Oreochromis niloticus: one gene and its partners. The protein of the gene in region 3 purifies or fractionates together with the protein of the main gene of each other region. This does not show direct contact. Links are inferred from orthologs where the notes say so. Each region holds a gene or a part of one and is shown on either strand. Other genes may lie near its edges. The genes, in order: rexo4, pes and rpl7l1.

Region 1 (7,719 bases), on a different chromosome or scaffold from region 3:
CATCGAGGATCTTTGCATGGGCCTCGTTGAAGCGGATCTCGTTGTTGTTCGCGGGCAGTGATACAGGAGTCAAGACGTGCTTGCTTAAGTGGTAGCCTTTCCCACCTTTAAATGAAACATAAGAGAATGCAGTGAATATCAGAGCAGGATAGCATCTCTGAACAATGTGGACCCCTGAAGCAGAATGGCTATAGCAGCAGAAGACCACACAGGTGCCACTCTAGTGAGAGCTCATTCTAAGAACAAGAAACTGAGGCTTCAGTTTGCATGGGCTCACTAAAATTAGGCAATAGCCATTCTTGGAATACTTTGATCCCTGATTACAAACTGAGAATCATCTAAATGCCAGAGCCTATCTGAGTATTGATGCTGACTATGTCCATCCCTTTATGACCACAGTGTACCAATCTTCTACTGACTCCTTTAGACAAGATAGTCGCCATGTCACAAAGCTCAATTCATGTAAAACGGGTTTCTTGAGCATGAAAATGAGTTTCCTGTACTGAAATGGCCTCCACAACTCAAAGTGAGAATCACAGTGAGGAAGAAAGAACTTTGAATGTGAGATGTTAATGCTAGATGGGCTGGTCTAAGTATTTCACAACTGTCTGCTGGGATTTCCTCACACAAGCGCTGGAGTTACATATAATGGTAGGAAAAAGAAAATATCCAGTGAGCAGCAGTTCCCTGGCAGAAAACAGCTTATAATGTTAGAGGTCAGAGAAAAATGGCCAGACTCCTTTGATCTGATAGGAAGGCAAAAGTAACCACAATTGAGGTATGCAGAAGGTCATCTGTGACAACACCTGAAGCCAATGGGCTACTACAGCAGAAGACCACAATGGGTGCAACAGCTGTCAGCTAAAAACAGGAAACTGAGGTCACAGTTTGCACTGGCTCATCGAAACTGGACGACAGAAGAATGGGATGTGGTGATCAGGGAGATTCCCATTATGGATGTGCAGCTGACAAATCTGCAGCAATCTGATATGAATCAAGAAACATTGACCAAAATCTGTGACGAAATTTTCCATCACCCTGTTGAATCTAGGCCATGAATAATAACGTAATAATGCATTAATAACATGTCCAGTAAGTTTATGTGTAAGAAGTTAAAACACTATTTTATTTGTGTTTTATGTAAAAAGAATGAAATATTCCAGAGAAATCAACTGTTTGCCAAGAAGTTAATACTTTTGACAACTGTCAATTTTGCCTTTTTCTGGGAATAGAAACACTAAAGAGCAGATCCGTTCTTTTTGGGAATAACTGTTTTGCATTCATTGCCTTAACTTATATCTGTATCTTTGCATCCCCTCATACACCTCTACTTAATCAAGGGATCTTTACACCTTTCTGGAAGGGTTATTGCTGGGTGACCCATGTAGGGGAAGTGCAGAATTTCAGATAGTTTAGATGATGGGGTGGGGTCTTCCTGGGCGGCTTCTTATTGCTAGGCAACCAGTCGTCATCAGACGCAAACGGATGATAGTTTTGTAGGTTTTTATGCTTGACTTGATACCTCACTGTGCTGTCACTCCAGTTTACATTTCTAAATAAACATTTGCACAAGAGGTCATCACTGCTCTTACCAATCAACCAAAACGGGCTGTGCAGGTCCTCTTGCATTTCCCTTCCTTTAAAGGAGGAGTCCCACATCTCTTGCTCAAACGTGCCACCAACACAGCACTTTTCAACACTCAGTATGTTGCCGTCGCAGTCGCATATGATCTGGCTTACAACCGATGTGTAACCCAGGGCATTGATAAAAGACCTGAAGGCGTCTTTTTCATATGGAGATGCTCTGATCTTGAAGTGCGCAGGAGCCAGGACGCCCAGCACGTTTGGGATTCCGCAGAATTTCTCTATCTTTAATGCGACGTTAGTTCTGGCGTCCAGGGTTAGCGGGAAAGAGATGAATACATCGGACATCCCTGCTATGACTCCCGAGATTGTACCAACCACAGTCGTGGGGCACTCCGTCTGCCTCAGTCCGGCTTTCTGCAGCACAGCAGTGGTGGAGACCCCATGTGCGTAATAATTGAGCGCCACCATGACCATCTCGTCCACGGGCAGCTGGGATTTCTTGGGGGCGGCGTCCTTCATGCGGATGCGGACGGCGTCTGCGATAAACAGGATGCAGGGTCTGCTCAGGTGGAACAACTGAAAAAGAGCTTCATCGTCGAAAGTGTCAAAGCAGCTCGAAGCTCCGTAGTCTGCCTCGTTTTGTGCCAGGAGCTCCTCCTGGACCGCAAGCCAGACAGGCACGGCGAAAGCCATTAGTTTTTACTCCGATGTATTTAAACAAGCAAAGATCCCCCACGGCGTGCCCGAAATCGTTCCCAAACAACGTCTTCTTCTCCTTTGGCTTGGCAGACTGGACGCTGGGCGGCGTGCTGCTGCCCTCTGCTGTTCACTTGTGTCCCTGTTTCGACATCTGTGTTGTTATATATTGCAGGATTATGCGGACACTCGCCCAGTTTCGTAATCTTATTCCGGTTATGCAGGCTGATTAAAGCGCAACAACAAATCTCCTGGTTGCCTCGTCTTTGTTTAACGTTTAAGCTAAAGCGATCCGTTATCGCCACCTAGTGGACAGCAATAAAAAACATTTGAAAAAGACTGCAGTTCACAATGTGTAAACCAGTTGTGTGGAAAAATCCCAGCAGATCAGCGGTTTCTGAAATACACAGACCAGCCCATATGTCATCAACAACCATAACGTTGAAAGTCACTAAAATTACACACCGTCTTGACCATGTCTACATAACTAAATGCACTGAGTTTCAGATATTAGATATTTGTGTTAACAAGCAGTTAAACAGGTGTACCTAATAAAGTGGCTGGTGACCAAAAACCAAAAATGTAGTGTGGGATAAAATGCTAAAAACTACCTCTTATTCTCTGGGATAATCAAGTGCAGATGTTCATTTGCAGCTTTAGTAAGATTTGGATGGGCATAAATAATTATCTGGAGCCACTTTTATTCTAGACCGACATTTCTGACAGGCATTAAAGTATTAGAACAAAATAAGATGTTCCTTTCTTCTAGCAGTGGACTTAAAAATAAAAGAATTAACATAAAAATATGATTATTTATGACATGTTTATTGCACAGAATAATAAATATAAACATTCTGTATTTTAACATAGACAGCACAGCCATTTACTGTTGTTTTCATTCAATATACATCTTATTGTGACCAGTGTGTTCGGATACAGAATTCACATTTAACCATTATAAAGATGCTTAAACAATAAAAAAGTCAACAGAATATATCTTCTTATAAATAAGGCACAAAACATTTCATAAAAAAAGACAAACAGTAACACCAAAATAAAACCCCTGCAGCTTTACTTCTTCTCTGTCCACAGCAGTATCAGACTGTGCTTGTTACATACTGGGTGATAAATAGAACATTTTGTTGACTTCACTAATGGACACATCCTTCAATCGGGGTATTCCACCGTTACGGCAGGACTCGGTGCTCTGGCCTTGTGCATACACATCTGTGACAGAAAAAAGACATTTAACAATCAGGAAATTCTGAAAATGTGGCATGGCTGTTGGTGGCAGACGGGCTGGTCCGAATATTTCAGAAGCTGGTAATCTGCTGGGATTTCCCCCACACAACAATCTCTGACATCAACAAAACATTTTGTTGACGTCCTCACCTGTGATGTTGTCCACAGAGTCCAGCGGTGCCGTGTTGCGCATGTTCACACCGAATAACAGTATGAAACAGACTGTTATTGCGACCAGCAAGTAGATTGGCATCGCAAGAGCCCAGTATCTAAACAGAACACACATTTGACACTGTCGTGAAACTGTGCAGGTGCTTCCCCAGTGATCCATTTATCTCAGAGCAGTTCTACTTACTTTTGAGGCCAGTAAGTGAGCCCTATTGAATGAAGCCACTCCTCTGGCACGAAAGCCCATAAGCAATACAGAACTGTGGAGAGACGCAGTGAGTATTACAGACATGCACTGCTTGAACTCCTGTTTGTGTTTTGGATTGATTCACTTACAGAAGCCAAACTGTGATCCGAGGAAGAGAACAAACCCATAAATGGCCCTCTCAGGCAGAGGAGATGGAGAGTTTTCCACCATGATCTACAACCAAAACACAGACAGAAAGGTGTGGGAGAGCAACGAGACAGCAATAAAACATTCAGGCCCCAAAGAGAAGTTACATACCTGGAAATACGTTTTTTCTTTGCTCCTTTAAACCCTAACTTTACTCAGATTTTTAACATTAATTACCACGTTAATTATATGCCTGATGATTATCAAAAGCAATACAAAATGGGTTTAACACGTCTATCAAAACCCACTGTGCCTTTTTTACATTAGTGCTATGAAGCCTTCCGCAACGGTCCGTCACTTTTCCTCAGAACGATGCGAAACTTTTTCTAAAACATTAGTTCCGCCATTGAATCGCTCACAAAACAAGCGTCAAAACATGACTTTTTTACGTTTATCATATAAAATTTCACATTTATATAATTGTAAAGCAAAAGCACGGTCGGAGATTTTTTTTTCACATCTTACTGACGTGACGCACTTGAGCTACAGCACGACGTCATGTTTGTGACGGACATATTTCACTGTTGCACATCGTGGAAAAACACTCAACGGCATGGCTTCGGAGAGAGTTAAGTTTTACGAGTAAGCGATTTTATGTACAGTTCAGGGACGTGCTTCAGTAATGCTCGTGTGCTGGCCGAAAGGTGAGCTTAGTCTGGGGGAGACATTTCTTACTGTCTGAAGTTGTTTGGCAACTCAAGTAACGGACATCTGACAAGCCAGCGTGGCTTTACACACCTCACCACGAAAAATATAAGGAGGTGAGGATACATGAGATAGGTGATCATAATGTCTAAGGTGGAGAAACAGAAAAAACAGTTTCCCGCTAAAGCACGTAAGCGGAAACCTAATAAGAAAAACGGCATATTAAAAAAGAACGAGAGGCAGTGGTTTTACTCAGCTCCTGCAAACAAGGAGCAAGAAAAGCCTACAGCTCCACAAACTGCTCCTCCAAAAGACTCCCAGCAGTTCTCTGCCAACTGGAAAGCACTTCAAGAGGTCAGTGAGTGCAGTAGTTTGATATCCATGCATGTCCTGTCACACAATTTGGTTTTTGTGTGCCTGTGTTTAATACTACCCACAGGTTTTTCTCCCTTATTTTCCTCCCTTCAGGTGTTGAAGGCCAGTCAGTCAGAGAAGAAGCAGCCAGTGGCACCGAAACATCAGAACGGCTTCTTGCCAAAGAAGGTCCAAGAAAATACTTCTAAAATAATTTCTAAGAACAATGCTGGACCAAGCCAGAGAGACACTGAGAAAAAAGCGGATCACAAAACTGTGCCTAAGAGTTTTGTCTCCGGTAAGACTGGGGTCAACTCAAAGGTGTTGGATGTCTCGAAGACTAAACATGCTACTGCTCCAAAAAGAGAGCGGGATAGCGGGAAGCCAAACAGCCTACAGGCAGCTAAGAAGAAGAAGCTTGAATCCGAGGAGACAAAGCCCACAGAGTATGTATATATTAGCACTGAAGTTGACTCATTTATTCAGCAAGAATATTTTTGTCTGATAATCCCATCTCATTCTCTGCTGTTGCAGAGAGGACCTTTGGTTTGATGACGTGGACCCGGATGACATTGAGGCGACAATGGGAGCAGAAGCAGCCGAGATCATGAGGAAGAAGCAGGGCAAGGCCAAGGGTACGGATGGTGCCTCGGCTAAGGACACGGAGAAGAGCCTGGTTAAGGAGAATGCTTTTGAAGGGTAAGTCGCTGTGCATTCAGTGTACAGTGAGAACCACACTCAGAATACAGCGGGCAGCTTTGATGCCATTTTAGAAAAGTGCGTGAAAATATTCCCGGGGAAAGATGCACGCCTTAACAGCGATTATAAAAAATATCAAGTCCCTAATGTCATTACTTCTCTCAATACAAGTATTTCACAGGAATGTTGCTGCCGTGGTGTTATTAGCTGGCTGTGAGTAACTGTGGATGTAATATTAACAATGTGGATTTGGCACATGATGTCATACTTGGGAAATGTCACACAAAATGTGTTTTTCCCAACATATAGACTTTAATATCTCTGAAACCGCTCAACTGACTCGGCCTGTTTAAACAACATTATGTGCCTCATGCATAAGAAGCTCAAAGTAAATGATCAATCCCCCCCCCACCTTCTACAGTTCTCTGGATCTGCTGTCAAAGATCAGACATCCAATTATTTTAGGGACTCCTTCTGTATGAAGTTGAGCTACACTCCTGAGGAGATGGAGACTGTTTTTTTCCCCCTCAGTGGAGAGCTTCATGGAGCTTTCCTTCAAGGAGTCAAGTATTACATATAGTCTGTGATAAATACTTTTGCCATTGCATGTTTTAGTGAATTGTCTGGACAGAGCATGAAGTAAACATGGTTGCTGACTGTTTTCTGCGGGTTATGGAGATGGATAAATTGTTGAATGGAATTTATACAATTAAATCCTTCACTGCGGTGACGTAGCCTGTCAATACAGCTTCAGAGCTCACTACATTGCTGTGGAAAATCATTGATAATACAGATAAATGCTGTGGAAAAACCTGTGACCCCTGATGGATGAATGGATGGATGCATTCTGAGCTAGGTCACAAAAGGTATGACCCTATTATGCTGTGTCTGCCGGTCATGCGCCTCTCAATTTTGTAACCTGAAGCGTTGAGCAAGGGTTAAAGACGAGAGTGTACGATTGTATCAGTTTTTACAATCATTTTAAGGATATTCCGCCACAAAAACTCAGAGACATGCAGATATACAGAGAAGGAGATGTAGGAACAGTGTGAAAACTTGAGTTTGTGGAAAAAACTGTGGAAAAAAAACCTCGACAAAGTCTCGGCTTCCGATTTTGACAACTTCTCCTCCTGTGTCAGCACTTATGTGGCGATATTGTCTGATTGCTGACACCTGTCATTCAGGAGAATACTGCAGCAGCTTCCTGCGCCTTCATGGCGGGTATAAATACGACTGACTGTGAGATAGTCTTGCTGGAGCGAGCAAAGCGACCTTTGCGTTTGGTGTACTGGGGCCTTTACATTGAGGTGTTTACGTTGAGACAGAAGATGATGATTGTCATGTCTCTCCTTTCTTGTCACTTTGTCGTTCACCTTAAGCCTCACTAAAGCGGTGGCCATTGACTGTGAGATGGTGGGAGTTGGTCCTGATGGAGAGGACAGCATCTTGGCACGTGTGTCAATTGTGAACCAGTTTGGGAAGTGCATCTATGACAAATATGTGAAGCCCACAGAGAAGGTAACAGACTACAGGACAGCTGTCAGCGGCATCCGGCCAGAGGACATCAAAGATGGTGAGAGAAATGAAATGAGTTGCAAAGAACAACTGAAAGTCTCTTTGTTTCTTATGTTGTGTTTCTGATGTTTTTTAAACCACGTTTGTCTCTCTGCAGGAGCGGATGTACAGATTGTACAGAGGGAGGTTGCTAACATCCTGGAAGGGAGACTAGTGGTTGGACACGCCATACACAATGATCTAAAGGTAGCATGGATGTGATATCGGAAATAGAACAAATGTAATATTTTTCTTAGCCTGATTATGAGCAGCCACAAACTATCTCCTGTTTCAGATTCTGCTCTTGGATCATCCAAAAAAGAAAATCAGAGATACTCAGAAATATAAACCCTTCAAGACGATCGCAAAGGTATGATGCA
Region 2 (6,973 bases), on a different chromosome or scaffold from region 3:
TTTCTGATTCTTAATGAGCAGGCAAGTCATTAAGGACAATTTTTTATTTACGATGTTTGCCTGGCAACCTATGTTATAACCCCACAGTAATAAAGTGACTGCTTATTATTAGCACTGTCCCTGTTGACTGCAATTTGCCAAACTGCACTTACATCATGGGAGAACTGATATGGCACCACCCATGTAATGAGCTGTCCCATCACCTCAGCCTGATAATATATTCCCTTGATGGAGAGGAAAACCTATCAAAGTAGACAAACATTTAGTGCATTACAGAACACAGGTCAATCAACTCTCACTGAGTCAGATCAATAACAGGCTGGTGAACTTGCACCTTTCGCAGAGAACGTGATGTGATCACATAGTTCATCCACTCCACAGTGAGCCGTTTGCACAGCTGGATTGTCTGCACATGACATTTTCCTGTTCGAGCAAAAGTGGAGAAGAGGAAGCACATGCAGAGGGCATCGTCGATATCACGGAGGGCATCAATGAAGGTTGGATACCTGCCAAAAAAAGAAGCACAAACAATATTTGTGAGGTTTTGTTTTTGTTTTGTGTTTTTAACAAAAACATCTTCCCTTTCAAATAAAAAAAAAAAAATCTGTTAAATTTCAATTAAAGCTTTAAAAAAAATCTACTGACAGACTACTAAAGATCCTGTCCTACTGTTACCCTACAATTTCAATTTAATTCATACAGTGGCAGAGAAAAAAAGATCAACTGTGCCCTCTTATGTTCAGTGTGAAGAATAACCACCCCACCTTTCTTTGATGATGTGATCCAATTTATAGGTTGGCTTGTTCTCTCTCAGTCTTTCCACTGCAGACCACTCTGTTTTTCCATAAGCCTTCTTAAGCTTACGCACAAATATCTATAAAAAGAAAATAACACAGGTACAAAAAAAGACTGTCAACCAAATTTAAATCAAACTATAAAACAAAGACATGATGAGGAAAAACTGATTAAAACAAAGTGTTTTAAATATCCTTTTTGTAGAGGTAAAGCACACTAAGGCACTGGTTTCTTATGTAAGATACCTTGTACTCTCTGAATTTTCCAACAATTGGCTCATGGAGCAGAAAGCGGATGTCCTTGAGCAGGTAGAAGGTCCTTGGGGCTGTAGAGCCTTTGTTCACCTTCTTCTTGTGCTTTGGCTCATGAGGATATATGCCTTTGAGAATGCAAAGTCGCCTGAAAATCAGAGAAGAGAAATCATTTGTCTGCAACAAGGTTCCTTTCTGGGAAAGCCTTGCAACTGGAAATCGAGATTTGGAACAAACTTGGAGAAAAGTAAGTTGCTGTGATGTAACAGAAACAGAAACTAATCTGGTGTTTATAAAAAAATCTTAGTAATATTGGCATGGAGAGTAACATTTTCAAAACCAGGGATTTATTTTGAAATTACCAGCCACTGCCAAATATTCTGATCACATTCACTAAAAATTTAAGACACCTCAGAATTTTTTGTTAAATTAATATATGCACATTATATGTCAGATGTGATTTATGGATATAGTGCTGATCATAAAGAATATCACTAGGTGCAGATCCATTATTAACTACTAACATAACTTTATCTCACTAACTTGGGCGTCAATACATTGTTCCTTGTTGAAGGTAACAAGGTTTTTACTGAAATGCTAATTAAACTTTGCTTCACTTTTGAGGATGCATTAATACTTTTTGCATTTCACTCACTTTTTTCAAAGATGCGAGAAGCAGAAGTAGTGAAAGAGGAGTTTTAACGCTGGGGTCAACCATCCAAAGCAACAGTGCACAAGAGAGGTTAAGAAGAGAGTGCAGGGCAGATGGAAATGAAGGTCAGGGGTGATTTGTGGCAGACGGATAGCAGCAAGAATGACAGCTAAGGATTGCAAGATGGTAGTGAGACCTGCTGTGAAGTATAATTTGGACAGGAGGCCAAGCTGGTAGAGCTGCTGAGATTTTCAACTTTACAGTAGGAATGTAAGAATTGAGTACATCAAAGGGACTGCTAAGATTGAGCAGAGACAAAGTTAGAAACAAGGCTGGGATGGTTTGGACATGTGTAGAGGAGGGACGGTGGATGATTACTGGACAAAGGATGTTGATGGAGCAGATGTCTGGCAGGTGGAAAAGAGGAAGACCACAGAGGAGATTCATGGATGTAGCGAAGTACATGCAGAGTGTTGATGTGAAAGAGGAGGATGCTAGGGACTACTGTTGTGACCTCCAAAGCCAGGAGCCGAAAAGAAATGCACTTTTGTTTGACTCTGCACACATGTCTACCTTGTTCAATACACAGCACAGTTCAATACACAGTTTCACAACAAACAAACAAAGAAAACCCACTGAGTTGAGTTTTAAAGACTGTGTTGTAAATGGGCCCTAGCACCTTTTTCCACCCAGAAAGCGTTAGCTACTATACAATAACGAGAAACTAATATAGTGGCGTCGGGGTATGAATATATCGTGATTTAAAACACAGACAGACAGACAGACACACACACACACACACACACACACACACACACACACACACACGTGTAAAAATGCTAACTGCAACGTTACCTGAAGTCCGGGAGGCTGAGCTGCAACTTCTTTCGAGCTCTGTTTCTGGTGATGTAGTTGGTGGCAGAGCCCCTCTCAAACTGGAAAACATAGGAAGATGCTCATATTCAGCACAAACAGTATGTGTTAACAAGGCACATAAGCTCACCCGAGTCCAGGAGAATCTACTGTTTGAGAAAAACAAACTTCAGCTAGCTGTTAGCTAACTGGATAGTCAGACTTTTGGTAATAAAACGCCCGACATTACACGAACACCCACACCTACCTTTTTCTTTTGAAGACCTCCCATTTAGAGACCGTTTCTAACCCTCCACAGAGTTTTATCCAATTGTAGTTGTTTTCACAAAGTACACGATTCGCAATGTTACACAACAACGACCGACACGACACGCAGCAAATGCACGTGCGGCTTGACATGCGCGAAGGAGATGGCCCAAACAGCAGGACCCATGGGTGGGCCGTTGATCTGCCTGTTTACAAAGGAAAGCCGCAAAAGGGTTTTGGACGTGAAACATTCGTACATACACTGTATGGAAGGTTTACATACACTCATCAATGGCGTGTGCTTTTTACGGAAGCGTAGAGCTGCCACCCAGGCAAAAGAAAAATAGAAGTATATCACGTTATAACGTGAAAAGTTTATTGTTCTAACAAGATACTTTTCGCATTTGAACAACATAATATGACGTTATTACAATATACATAATTATCACGTTCGTACAATATAATATTTATATTGTACGAACGTGATATTTATATTGTACGAACGTGATAATTATGTATATTGTAATAACGTCATATTATATTGTTCAAACGTCAAAAGTATATTGTACAAACATGAAAGTATATTGTACAAACATGAAAAGTATCTTGTTAGAACAATAAACTTTTCACGTTATAACGTGATATACTTCTATTTTTCTTTTGCCTGGGTGGCAGCTCTACGCTTCCGTAATACAATAAGCGCTTAAAACAAACAAACAAACAAACAAACAAACAAACAAACAAACAAACAAAAAAACACCTTTTTATGACGGAAAGAGAAACTACCACTTGTAGCCAGTCATTATCACTAAAAATAAGTTCATAGGTCATATAAGTGTCAGCATCATTTAAGAATTAAGCGAGTGTATATGTTTAAGCTTTTTATGTTTAAGGATTGGAGAAAATCCAAAATAAATTCAAACTTGTGCACTAAGTTCTTGTTTCATCTTTAAAAGCTCAAAATTACCATCACATTAATAGCCAGGATGAGTGTATGTAAACTTCTGACCACAACTATAAGTGACAGCACTATTTTTTATTATATTACTATATATAATAAAGGTACCTGTTCGCCCTGCAGGCAGTCTTTATGCCTCAAGCTTGGGTCCCCTACCAGAGGCCTGGAAGCTTGAGGGTCCTGTACAGTATCTTTGCTGTTCCCAGGACTACACTCTTCTGGACAGAGATCTAGAATATCATTCTTGGGATCTGCTCAAGCCACTTGCCCAGTTTGGGAGTCACTATCCTGAGTGCTCTGATTACCACTGGGACCACTGTTGCCTTCACCCTCCACATCTTCTTAAGCTCTTCTCTCAACCCATGGTATTTCTTGAGCTTCTTGTGTTTCTTCTTCCTGAAAATGTTATCCTAGCAACATCTTTCACTGTGGCCATCTTCCTCTGCTTGTCCAACACTACTATGTCCAGTTGGTTAGCCATCACCAGTTTGTCTGTCTGTAACTGGCAGGCTCTTAGCTCAGTCATCATCAACCACCATGGAGGGCATATCACATTTTGACCTCATGACTTTCAGGCCATACTTGGCACAGATATTTCTCTATATACCAGCTACCTGGATTTGCTGCCATCTAGCATCTTGCACCCTGGTGTTATGTGTTGGAGTGTCTCAGGGACATCTTTGCACAGCTTGCACCTGGGGTCTTGCCTGGTGTGGTACACCATTGCCTCTATGGATCTTGTACTTAGAGCTTGTTCCTGCGCTGCCATGATTTGTGCCTCTGTGCTGTCTTTCAGTACAGCTTTTTTCAGCCATTGGTTGGATTTCTTGATAATAGACACTTCTTCTATCTGCTGGTGGTACATGCTGTATGGGGGCCTGTCCTTCCATGATGGTTCCTCTTCTTGCCCTTTCTATTTCTCATGTTTCTGCTGCCTGAGGTATTCACTAAGCACGTGGTCATTCGTTGGCATCTTCCTGATGTACAGGGGTGGTTGTAGCTCAGAAGGTAGAGTATCTACTAATTGGAAGCTTGGTGGTTTGATCCCTGGCTGCTCCAGACTACATGCCAAATATTCTTCGGCAAGATACTAACACCTTGTTGCTCTCCAATGCATCCATCTCAAGTGTAAATGTTTGATAGAAAACACTTAAGCATAGAAAAAGTGCTTGTATGAATGGGTGTGCATGGGTGAATGAGGCATGCTGTATAAAGCGCTCTGAACGCTCTGATTGGGTAGAAAAAGCACTTGTACAGTTCTAGGCATTCCAGGATCCACATGTAAGTCATTGAGTCAGAGGCTCTCTTGAAGTCAGTCCAGGCAGTGCATAGGTTGGTCGGTCTGGTCTTACAGTTACTGATCTGTCTACCAGTAGCTGTTGTTTCCCCCCCACTGAGTTTTTCTGCCAATTCCTGCCCTGCTCATGTATTGAGCCATGTGCCTGTTCATTTTGCTATGATGCCTGACAGAAGCTTCCATGTACTGCAGCAAGTTATTGGCTAGTAGTTGGATAGGACCAGTCAGGACTGTCCGGCCTTCAGTTAGCCATTCTCGTCGTGTCTCATCCATTAGCAGGTGGTTCATTTGTGCTTCAGAGATTCATGAAGGGCAGTTAGCTTCTTTAGTCAGTATCTGTGTATCATGTCAAGGCCTGGTGCTGTCCAAATCTTCATGCTTATGACCCTTTCTTGGATGCCTACTGCTGTGATGGTTACTGGATCTTATCCAGGGAGGTTGCTGTGGTCTGCTCTTAGAGCCACTAGCCACTGAGCATTATTGCTATAAGTTGCATCTCGCACATGGTCTTCCAGTACTGCTAGGTCTCCAGCATTGGTGAGGCTGTTGTTCTCATATTGTTTCCCTGCCACTGAGAGTACCTTGAATGGTTTATTCTCCTGGCTTCGAACTTTCTGGTATACCTTTTCAAGCAGCTACCCAAGGCTGTGAGTCTTTGCTTGGCAGTTTCTAAGACCTCAGGTATGGACAGGTTGTTGTACTTCTTCGGCATCCCTTTTTTCGTCACACCTTTCTGCAGGTTTGACCGTTGCTCATAAAAATCCAGACCAACACACTCTGATCAAAACCAGTAATTTCAAGCAATTAATAGATCTGCAAATTTTGACAATTTAAAACAATGTATGTGCAAAGTAAGACAGTATGTAAAAAGAAAAGATAAAAAACTAATAACAAGAAGATGAGAGTTAAAAGAGTCTTGCACAGGGAGAAACTGATCCAGGCATAAAGCTGATTTATCAGAATAGAGTGGCATAAAAAATGAATCCTGCCTTCAACCACATCAGGACCCCACCCCCTACTCTCTTGTTCACTCACTGGTGCCAGGGATGCTTGAGAGAAATGCAGGCTGGAGCTGAGAAAAAGACATGATGACAGAAATTTAAAGCTAAATATACAGATTCAATCATAAGACTTCACAAGAACATCTGAGGATATGACGGAAACATGCCATAAAATCATCATGGGGCTACATAACTTCCTGAAGGAGTATATTCATGGTTTTTGGGACTATGAGACCCCCAAGGTGATGGTGGTTAAGAACAGAACTCTTGGCGTGATTTACAGGAGTGTTCAGTTTCTTGTGATCACTTATTTCATATGGTAAGCTTCACTTACATTTGCATGTCTAATGACTGGGTGTGTGGACAATGTATGAAATTCAGGTTTATTTTGTCTTTTCTACATTTTTTCTGTTAGATCTGTTGGTCTGAATGTGTTTTCTTTTAAATTTAATTACAGTAAAATTAAAAGCATTTTTTAAATGAATAATATTCATGCAGATGAAATAAATACACTACGGCTTTAAATTTTAACTAATGCAGTGCAGTTTTGTGGGGAGGAAATGCATCCCATTTGCAATTAACAGCATAAAATTCAACTATCCAACTGAGTGTGACTCATCCAGTCTCTATATTATCAGAGATTTAAATGCTATCCAAGGAGAACAGATGTAAAGTGTTTCAGATTTGAAATAAACTAAATGCTCTGAAGTGAGCATCTGAAAGTACATCATCACCTTTTTTGTCTTCAGCAAAGAGGGCTGAGCAGATCCAGGGTAACATGACACCGCCAATAAAAATTGACATCATGGTAGAAAATGTGATATTACCTCTGTCTCTTCTATCATCCTGAAGGTATGTCTTTATAAGTCAGAAAGCATACCAAGAGAGTGAAACCCGTCC
Region 3 (6,940 bases):
CAGCTGTGTCTCAGTGTTACAGTAAACATGTTTCTAAGATGCAACTATTACTTTGAAGGTGAACCTTCTCCATTTCCAGAGCTGTTTCACTACAGCTCGGAGAGCAGCTAGACGCTGTTTGTAGACAAGTCCATCACTTCTATTCAAACTGCAATCAGAGCAATATGCTAGCAACCAAAGCAATCACAAGATCACAAGGAGATTTTTCCCAACTGGACCAAAAGTACATATTTTTATATAGAGACAGAGGTGGTTTCCAGGGAGTCACTGACCATCTGTAGGCATGTGTGACTGGGGCTTTAGCCATCATCCCCCCGGCAACTGCCATCAACCTCCAGCAACTACTCAAAACTGGTTGGGATATACTCATCTGGTGGTTACCAGATGGTCATGGACCTTTCTAATTATCACATGTGCTAGCAAGAAAGCTAACATTACATTGTTACTGATCATGAGTCTGCAAAACCTTGATACACACAACTATGTTTGTCTGCCCTTTAGAGGACATCATAGCCATTAGTACCTAATAGGATCAACTCGGCACGGTTTGCCACCTGCTCGCCCGGGGTTCCAAGCCATCTGAGCAGGTACTAAAATTTGATGTTGTCAGACTGCAAGGCACCCACTGGCTGGTCAGTGGCGTCACTCGATGAGTCCTGAGAGTGATTTTAATTCACGAAAATTAAAACTGCAATTTTTGAAACCCGGCATTGAGGGAAATGGCTACTAAAAACAATGCTTGTGTTCCCCTGAGTCTGACGAAAGGCCACAGATGGAGCAGCAGGTATATTCTTGACTCCAACTCCACCTTTTTTGTAGCTTTCGTGTCGCAGATTTATTACATCAACTTTAACAGTACTAGTCGGCATTCAAAAAAGGGAAAAAATAATTTAAGAAGTAAAAATAGAACCATGCATTTTATTTTACATAACACTTCAAAGAACGATGGAGTATGACAGAGGGAGAAAGAGAGGAAGAGAAAGAGGAAGGGATGAAAAGAGAGAGAAGGTGCACAGCTGAAATGAAGTGCACTGTGACTGCAGGTGAGTGGGGAGGGAGGCTGTAGTGTGAGTGACTCACCCATGTGCTCCTCGATGAAGGTGTTGTCTGTGAGGGGAACTCTCCTCCTGCCTATCCTGGTCTGACCTCTCTTCAGAATGAGCTCACGAACCGACTTCAGGTTGGGAAATCTGTCCAACACACAGCCCAGTATGTAGAGGATTGAACACAAATTCAAGCCAGCATTACCCTCCAAAGTACACGGTGTCTCACGCACTCACCCCCATGCCACATAAGGCTCCACCATCTTCATCATCGCGATGGAGGTCTTGTTAATTTTGACAAAGGTCCCGCTGAAGATCTTCCTCAGCCTCATCATCTGGATCACTTTCATCACTTTAGGACTGACGCCTTTAGTCCTAACAGGAGAGAACCAGTTGGGTTAAACAAACTGTCGGCCGGTTCTGGAAGCCTGTGTCTGCTTTCCAGTACTCACTGTCTAATGCGGACAGCGAAGGCAAGCTTGTTCTTGGCTGGTGGTAGAGGTTCAGCCGGTCTCTGTTTGACCCTTTGGATGCGGGTGTCATCCCGATGCTGCGTGTGGCTTTCCTTTAAGAAATCTTCCAAACGCTTGAACTTGATTTTCCCTTTAGTCACCTGCAGCATTACAGGAATACACACATGAATGCACAACAGTACATAAATTCCATACAGCCTTTAACTACAAAGTTAGTATATATTGTATTGTATATATGTAACAAGCATCAGTACTTACCCTTCTCTTCTCGAGCAGTGCGAGTTTCGCTTGCGTGGCTTTGATTGCCTGGTATGCCTTCCTCTTTTTCAGAAGATACTCTGGAACCAACTTGATTGCCTTTTTTGTCCTGAAGAGAACAAAAAGTAAGAGAAAGAAGCTTTGGACAAACTAAATCACCAGTGTGTGAATGTGTGCGTGAATGGGTGGATGACTGGATGTGTAAAGCGCTTTGGGGTCTTTAGGGACTAGTAAAGCGCTATACAAATACAGGCCATTTACCATTTACCATTTAAATAAATGCGGCTCAGTCACAAGATTGTGCTGTGGAGGAGAACTGGAGGCGTTGACTAGCTTCAGTTGCAACCCTAAAACTAAGGTTTTTCAGTGTTACCACAGTGGGTTACTTCTTACTGGGGTATCACAGGTATGATAGGTGTGTTAAGACTGCTTCTCCAAAAAAAAAAAAAAAAAAAAAAATTGTTTATGAGGACCTAGTTAGCCTGAGGTCCCAGGGATTTTCTTGCGTCCTTGTAATAGGACGGCCGGGAGAACAGGATTGTCTGACACAAATTCAAACAGCATGACCCAGAAATTTTAGGGGTCACGCCAAGTCGGGAGGCCGTGGGTATACTTATTCAGTTCGGAGCTACCTTCGGTTCACCGACGGTATACACTCCATGTGAAAGTAAGCTCCTCCAGATACGCCTTTTTCACCCATCATCTTTCTAAATAGACACCTTAATCGAATCTTTAAGACTCGTACTTAGCGGGAAAAGCATAAACAGCACAGCTACACATAGGAAACCGAACGGATGAACTTAGATACAATTATAAAATCAAACACATACTCTGATTCGGCCATCGTAGATTCTTCGTCGCGGACAAATGACGTCAGCAGACAGTACCTCGACCTGCCCCAGCGTTTCGGGTCGAGCCTTTCCATTCAGCGGTCCATGTTTGGGGGTGATGCCATCATGTGTAGATCTGACATTTTTAAGGTGATGCCACAAGATGCCGCGGTACATTGGGGGTGATGACGATGCCACGGCCGTCTGCACAGACATGCCTCAAAATACTAAGCTAAAGCGTCCATTCCATCATGCTAGTATCGATGCTATCGACGTTCGGATCGATCCGCCCATCTCTTACTCTTTTTCCAGGTTTAATTTTTGTAACCTGGCGTGTTGTGCCGCTGCAGATTGGTTGCAAGAACGAATGCAACCGCCTCCAAATGGGACAATCCCCACTAGGGTTTAAATTCCCGGGACTCTCCACCTTTTGTTTTTAGAACCTTTTAAGCCTGTTTCCTTCGTCAAGCTCTGTCTCAATGCTGCCATCACCTGGATGGCTGAGAACCCACACAGACATTTGTCTCACTTTGCATCTATGCAAATCTGACAGTAAAAGATTTGTTTTAACACCAAGCATGACCTAGGGTTACACAAATATTTTTATCAGGACCACTTAAGGTTTGCCTTCCTTGCATGAAAGTCTAAAATAAACTTATTTTGGATTTTCATATATTAATCGTTTGAGTTATTTAGTGAATGTGAATAAAGCATACACTGTTATTCAGCCATGCCTCCCTGTTCCCACACACCATGGCCATTTTGGTTTCAGTGTTTTATACACTGCTCAAAAAAGGATATCTATACTGATATGGACCGGGTAATGTGTTAGGAACAAAAGGATATCATGTGGAAATGAGAATGATTAACCTACATAGGTTGAATTCAAAGACGCCCTAAAAAGATGGTATTCTCCTTATATCGCCTTTAAAGAGACATACAGTACATCTTTCCAAATGCCTTGGAAATAATCAGTTTTCAGAAAATATTTTAAACTGTTCAGAAAAACTGCTTCAGACCTAGGACAAGACAGAGCTGTGGTGTAGGCATCCAAAACACGTGCTTTAAGATGCATTTTAGCACTACATGTCACATTTTCGGGCTCTAAACCCTATAAAGCTGCTATACTGTGGAAAGGTTGCACAAACACTCTAAGAAGGATGAACACTTCAAGTCATAAAATTAAATGAAAAGATGACACAAATTATTTTCCTAATTCTTTCACTGTAGCAAAGTCCATGAAATCACTTTTTTAAAAATATGGCATAAGTACAAAAGGCAGTCAGGATCTGTTCCCTGGCCTGAAGGCACAGGGAAACGACCCTATTGTGAAATGGCGAAAACTCCAAAATATAGGCATCAGGCCAAGGGGATACAAGGATACCCACCCCAGCCCACCACCTCTCAGCAAGGCCAACTTCAGACTGGAACAGAGTCCAGCCCCTCTCCGGGGGACTGGTTCCAGAGCCCAAGTCATGCGCTGAGTTGAGCTCGACTATAGTCAGTATAGCTCAACCTCACATACTAGCTCAGGCTCCTTCCCATTCAGAGAGGCGACGTTCCATATCCCAAGTACCATTCTGGGTAGCTGGGGATCTGTCTGGCAGAGCCACTGCCCTTGGTTGCTACCTGGCACAGATTGCAACAGACTCCTACTATGCCTCCTGGGGGTGATGGGTCTACAGTAGTAAAATATTTATTTATTCTGTATCAGGAGGTCTGCAGGATCTTAGCCCGGTCATTGTCAACCACCCTGTGGGGTATATCCCATTTTGTCCATGGGACTTTAGCCCATACTTAACATAGATGTTCCTGTATTTTATACACTTTGCCAGCCACTTGTATATGGTCTTCCATGTATGCCGTTCATGTTAGCATCTTGTACCCTGCTGTTATGTGCTGGACAGTCCCTGTACAGATAGAGTAACTATGGTAGCAGAGAGACTTACTGTGTCTCAAAGTGCCATCAAGAAGATGATAGAGGTTACTTTATTCTGTTCTGTATTAACTGTGGATCAATTAGTTCACCAAACCTTTTTATATAGGTTTTATTTATTTCAAAAGTGTAGTTTTTTAAGTTTGAATGAACTAAAATGAAAATAAAAACTAAATGTTTTTATTTAGTTTAATTCAACTATAATAACCTTGGCTCACACATTAAGACATACTTTTTTGTGTTCAAAACTCATGTGACTGTGTCAGCACTGTGATTTCCTTCAGTTTAATTTCTCCCTGATAATTGACTGAAATAACTGAACTGAACTACTTTTTGAATATGTGCAGTTTCAGGTCTGAGCGTATTGCTCCATCTAGTGAGCCATCTTAAGCATTGCTTAAAGTGACCTGAATACTGCTTAGTTTTTTTTTTTATAAAGTACAGCAACAACAGAGATATTCTGCACACATCAGTATCAGCTTTATTGGGTAAGTATGAGTATACATAAAAGGAACTGGGCTATATTTTTATATACATTCTAAACACATTTTTAATGACCATTTAATTTATTTAACAGCCACATCTTCTATCTGCCGGTAAAAGCTGTGCAGTGACCTGTCCTTCCACGATGATTCTTGTTCCTCTTCTTTCTCAGGGTTCTGCTGCTTATATATAAAAAGTCCCCTCTCGCCCCTGCAGGCAGTCTATCCTTCAAGCTGAGGGTTCTGTGCAGTATCTTTGCTGTTCCTAGGACCGTCCTCTTCTGGATATGCAGCATGCCTTAGTTTAGTAGCAGGTATACTGGATATGTTAGTAGAATGATCTAAATGTTCATCACAGTGAAGGCCTATGGAAGGAAACTGCACAGATGTCTGCTTGTTTTGATTCTCTGTAGTACCAGAATGAGTCAGTAACATTATTAATATTCTCTGGGGACTAGTTTGACTAGGTGGTAAAAAGAAGTAAAATGTAATTATTTATTTTGTAATTTATTTGCAATTGTGAATAATAATTTCAGTTCAGTAATCCTGCTTGGCGTTCTGCCTTCCTTTCTTTATTCTCCTCTGTCCAAGTCCAACAACACCTTCTCTCTGGCACTACTCAGAAAGTTGAATGCAGCTATAACCCGATCACGGAGGTCGTTCCTCTTTATTTATTTATTTATTTTCTTCAACAAAAGACACTTACTTACTTTGAAAAAATTCTACATTAAATTTACAAAGTTCTGCCCACTCTACAATGCTTTTGATTCAGATCAGCATCAGAATTTGCTTTGCTACATACACTGAATTAAATTATAAATATGAAATATAGAAAAATAAAAATAAGGTACTCCATTGAAGACACAACATGTTTTGAATATGTACTCCAAAGTTATGCTGTATACAATATAAACAAAATATGTGAAAGTGAAAATAGTGAAAATAGTCCAAGTGTCACAGGGAGAGTTTGAGGCTGAATGTGTTCCGACTATCCAGCGTGTCATGGAGAGGGTATGAAGGATTGTGTTATGGTGCGGGTGAGTGGCTGTTTTTCTATTAGCTCTGGGTTTCCACCTCTAGGTGGAGCCTCATCAGCCTTTAAGACCAGCGCTCTTAACAAATCTTTGCCAGAATGTCTGGTAACCTCTGATAGTGCTTGCCCAATTATGTTTCATGAGAATTCATTGTACTTCTTCTTCACTAACTTTGTTATCTCTTATGTCTCTACTATTCTCTGGATCATCTACTCACCTTCGCAGTATAGTCACGTTTTTCTGGATGCTGGTCATGTCTATTCACACCATCACACCATAGTTCACAGTTCATGCTCGATATTTCAAGTGTCACGTTTTCACAGCCTGTAAATAAAGTTTCACTATTGAGAAAGACTGTGCCTCTGGCTGAATCTGCATTTTGGGTCCACTCTCTCGCTCTGGCCATCCTGTTTTAACAGATTGCCCATAACTCGGACAGCTTCCACCTGTCTTACACTGCCATCACAGATGCCTTGAGATAACTTGAGATGCCTGTGCACCACTCTACAGACCAATTCTTAGGAGGAGTCATAGGGAGGTGATGAAAAGTTTGATGGTCACAGGTAAGAGTGGTTCTCTGAGCCAGTCAGAGGTGGGTAGAGTAGCCAAAAATTGTACTCAAGTAATAGTAGCACTACTTAAACATAGTTTTACTCAAGCAAAAGTAAAAAGTAGCCGTCTAAGAAATTACTCTAGTAAGAGTAAAAAAAGTATTTAGTAAAACGGCTACTTGAGTACTGAGTAACAGAGCATAACATCTGATTTAATGTTTAAAAATGAGATAATCAGACAAAGATATAAAGTCTAACTTCTGGTATTTGAAAGAATGAAAAATATACCCCCCCCCAAAAAAACAACCAACAACAAAAAAAAAAACTACATAG

Evidence for each region.
Region 1: the proteins of rpl7l1 (region 3) and rexo4 purify together in Homo sapiens (affinity purification with mass spectrometry; 3 studies listed by BioGRID and IntAct, with this or other methods). This does not show direct contact. The link is inferred for Oreochromis niloticus from reciprocal best matches to the Homo sapiens genes RPL7L1 and REXO4.
Region 2: the proteins of rpl7l1 (region 3) and pes purify together in Homo sapiens (affinity purification with mass spectrometry; 4 studies listed by BioGRID and IntAct, counting the BioPlex papers as one, with this or other methods). This does not show direct contact. The link is inferred for Oreochromis niloticus from reciprocal best matches to the Homo sapiens genes RPL7L1 and PES1.

Annotation. Positions count from the first base shown.
Region 1 is NC_031973.2:18,113,338-18,121,056, forward strand, and holds the start of rexo4 (RNA exonuclease 4), read left to right. Parts: upstream 1-4,612; 5' UTR 4,613-4,876; coding exon 4,877-5,086; intron 5,087-5,200; coding exon 5,201-5,532; intron 5,533-5,620; coding exon 5,621-5,785; intron 5,786-7,164; coding exon 7,165-7,358; intron 7,359-7,457; coding exon 7,458-7,546; intron 7,547-7,634; coding exon 7,635-7,709; intron 7,710-7,719. Other genes in the region: si:dkey-197c15.6 (putative nuclease HARBI1), read right to left, coding at 1-105, 1,593-2,280; pigp (phosphatidylinositol N-acetylglucosaminyltransferase subunit P), read right to left, coding at 3,395-3,510, 3,676-3,794, 3,881-3,953, 4,030-4,111.
Region 2 is NC_031977.2:17,857,607-17,864,579, forward strand, and holds the start of pes (pescadillo), read right to left. Parts: upstream 3,011-6,973; 5' UTR 2,843-3,010; coding exon 2,819-2,842; intron 2,634-2,818; coding exon 2,554-2,633; intron 1,195-2,553; coding exon 1,041-1,194; intron 875-1,040; coding exon 765-874; intron 507-764; coding exon 335-506; intron 243-334; coding exon 153-242; intron 1-152. Other genes in the region: p2rx2 (P2X purinoceptor 2), read left to right, coding at 6,226-6,392, 6,926-6,973. UniProt on the Homo sapiens protein: Component of the PeBoW complex, which is required for maturation of 28S and 5.8S ribosomal RNAs and formation of the 60S ribosome.
Region 3 is NC_031980.2:27,061,977-27,068,916, forward strand, and holds the start of rpl7l1 (60S ribosomal protein L7-like 1), read right to left. Parts: upstream 3,029-6,940; 5' UTR 2,700-3,028; coding exon 2,605-2,699; intron 1,884-2,604; coding exon 1,775-1,883; intron 1,657-1,774; coding exon 1,496-1,656; intron 1,419-1,495; coding exon 1,281-1,418; intron 1,191-1,280; coding exon 1,081-1,190; intron 1-1,080.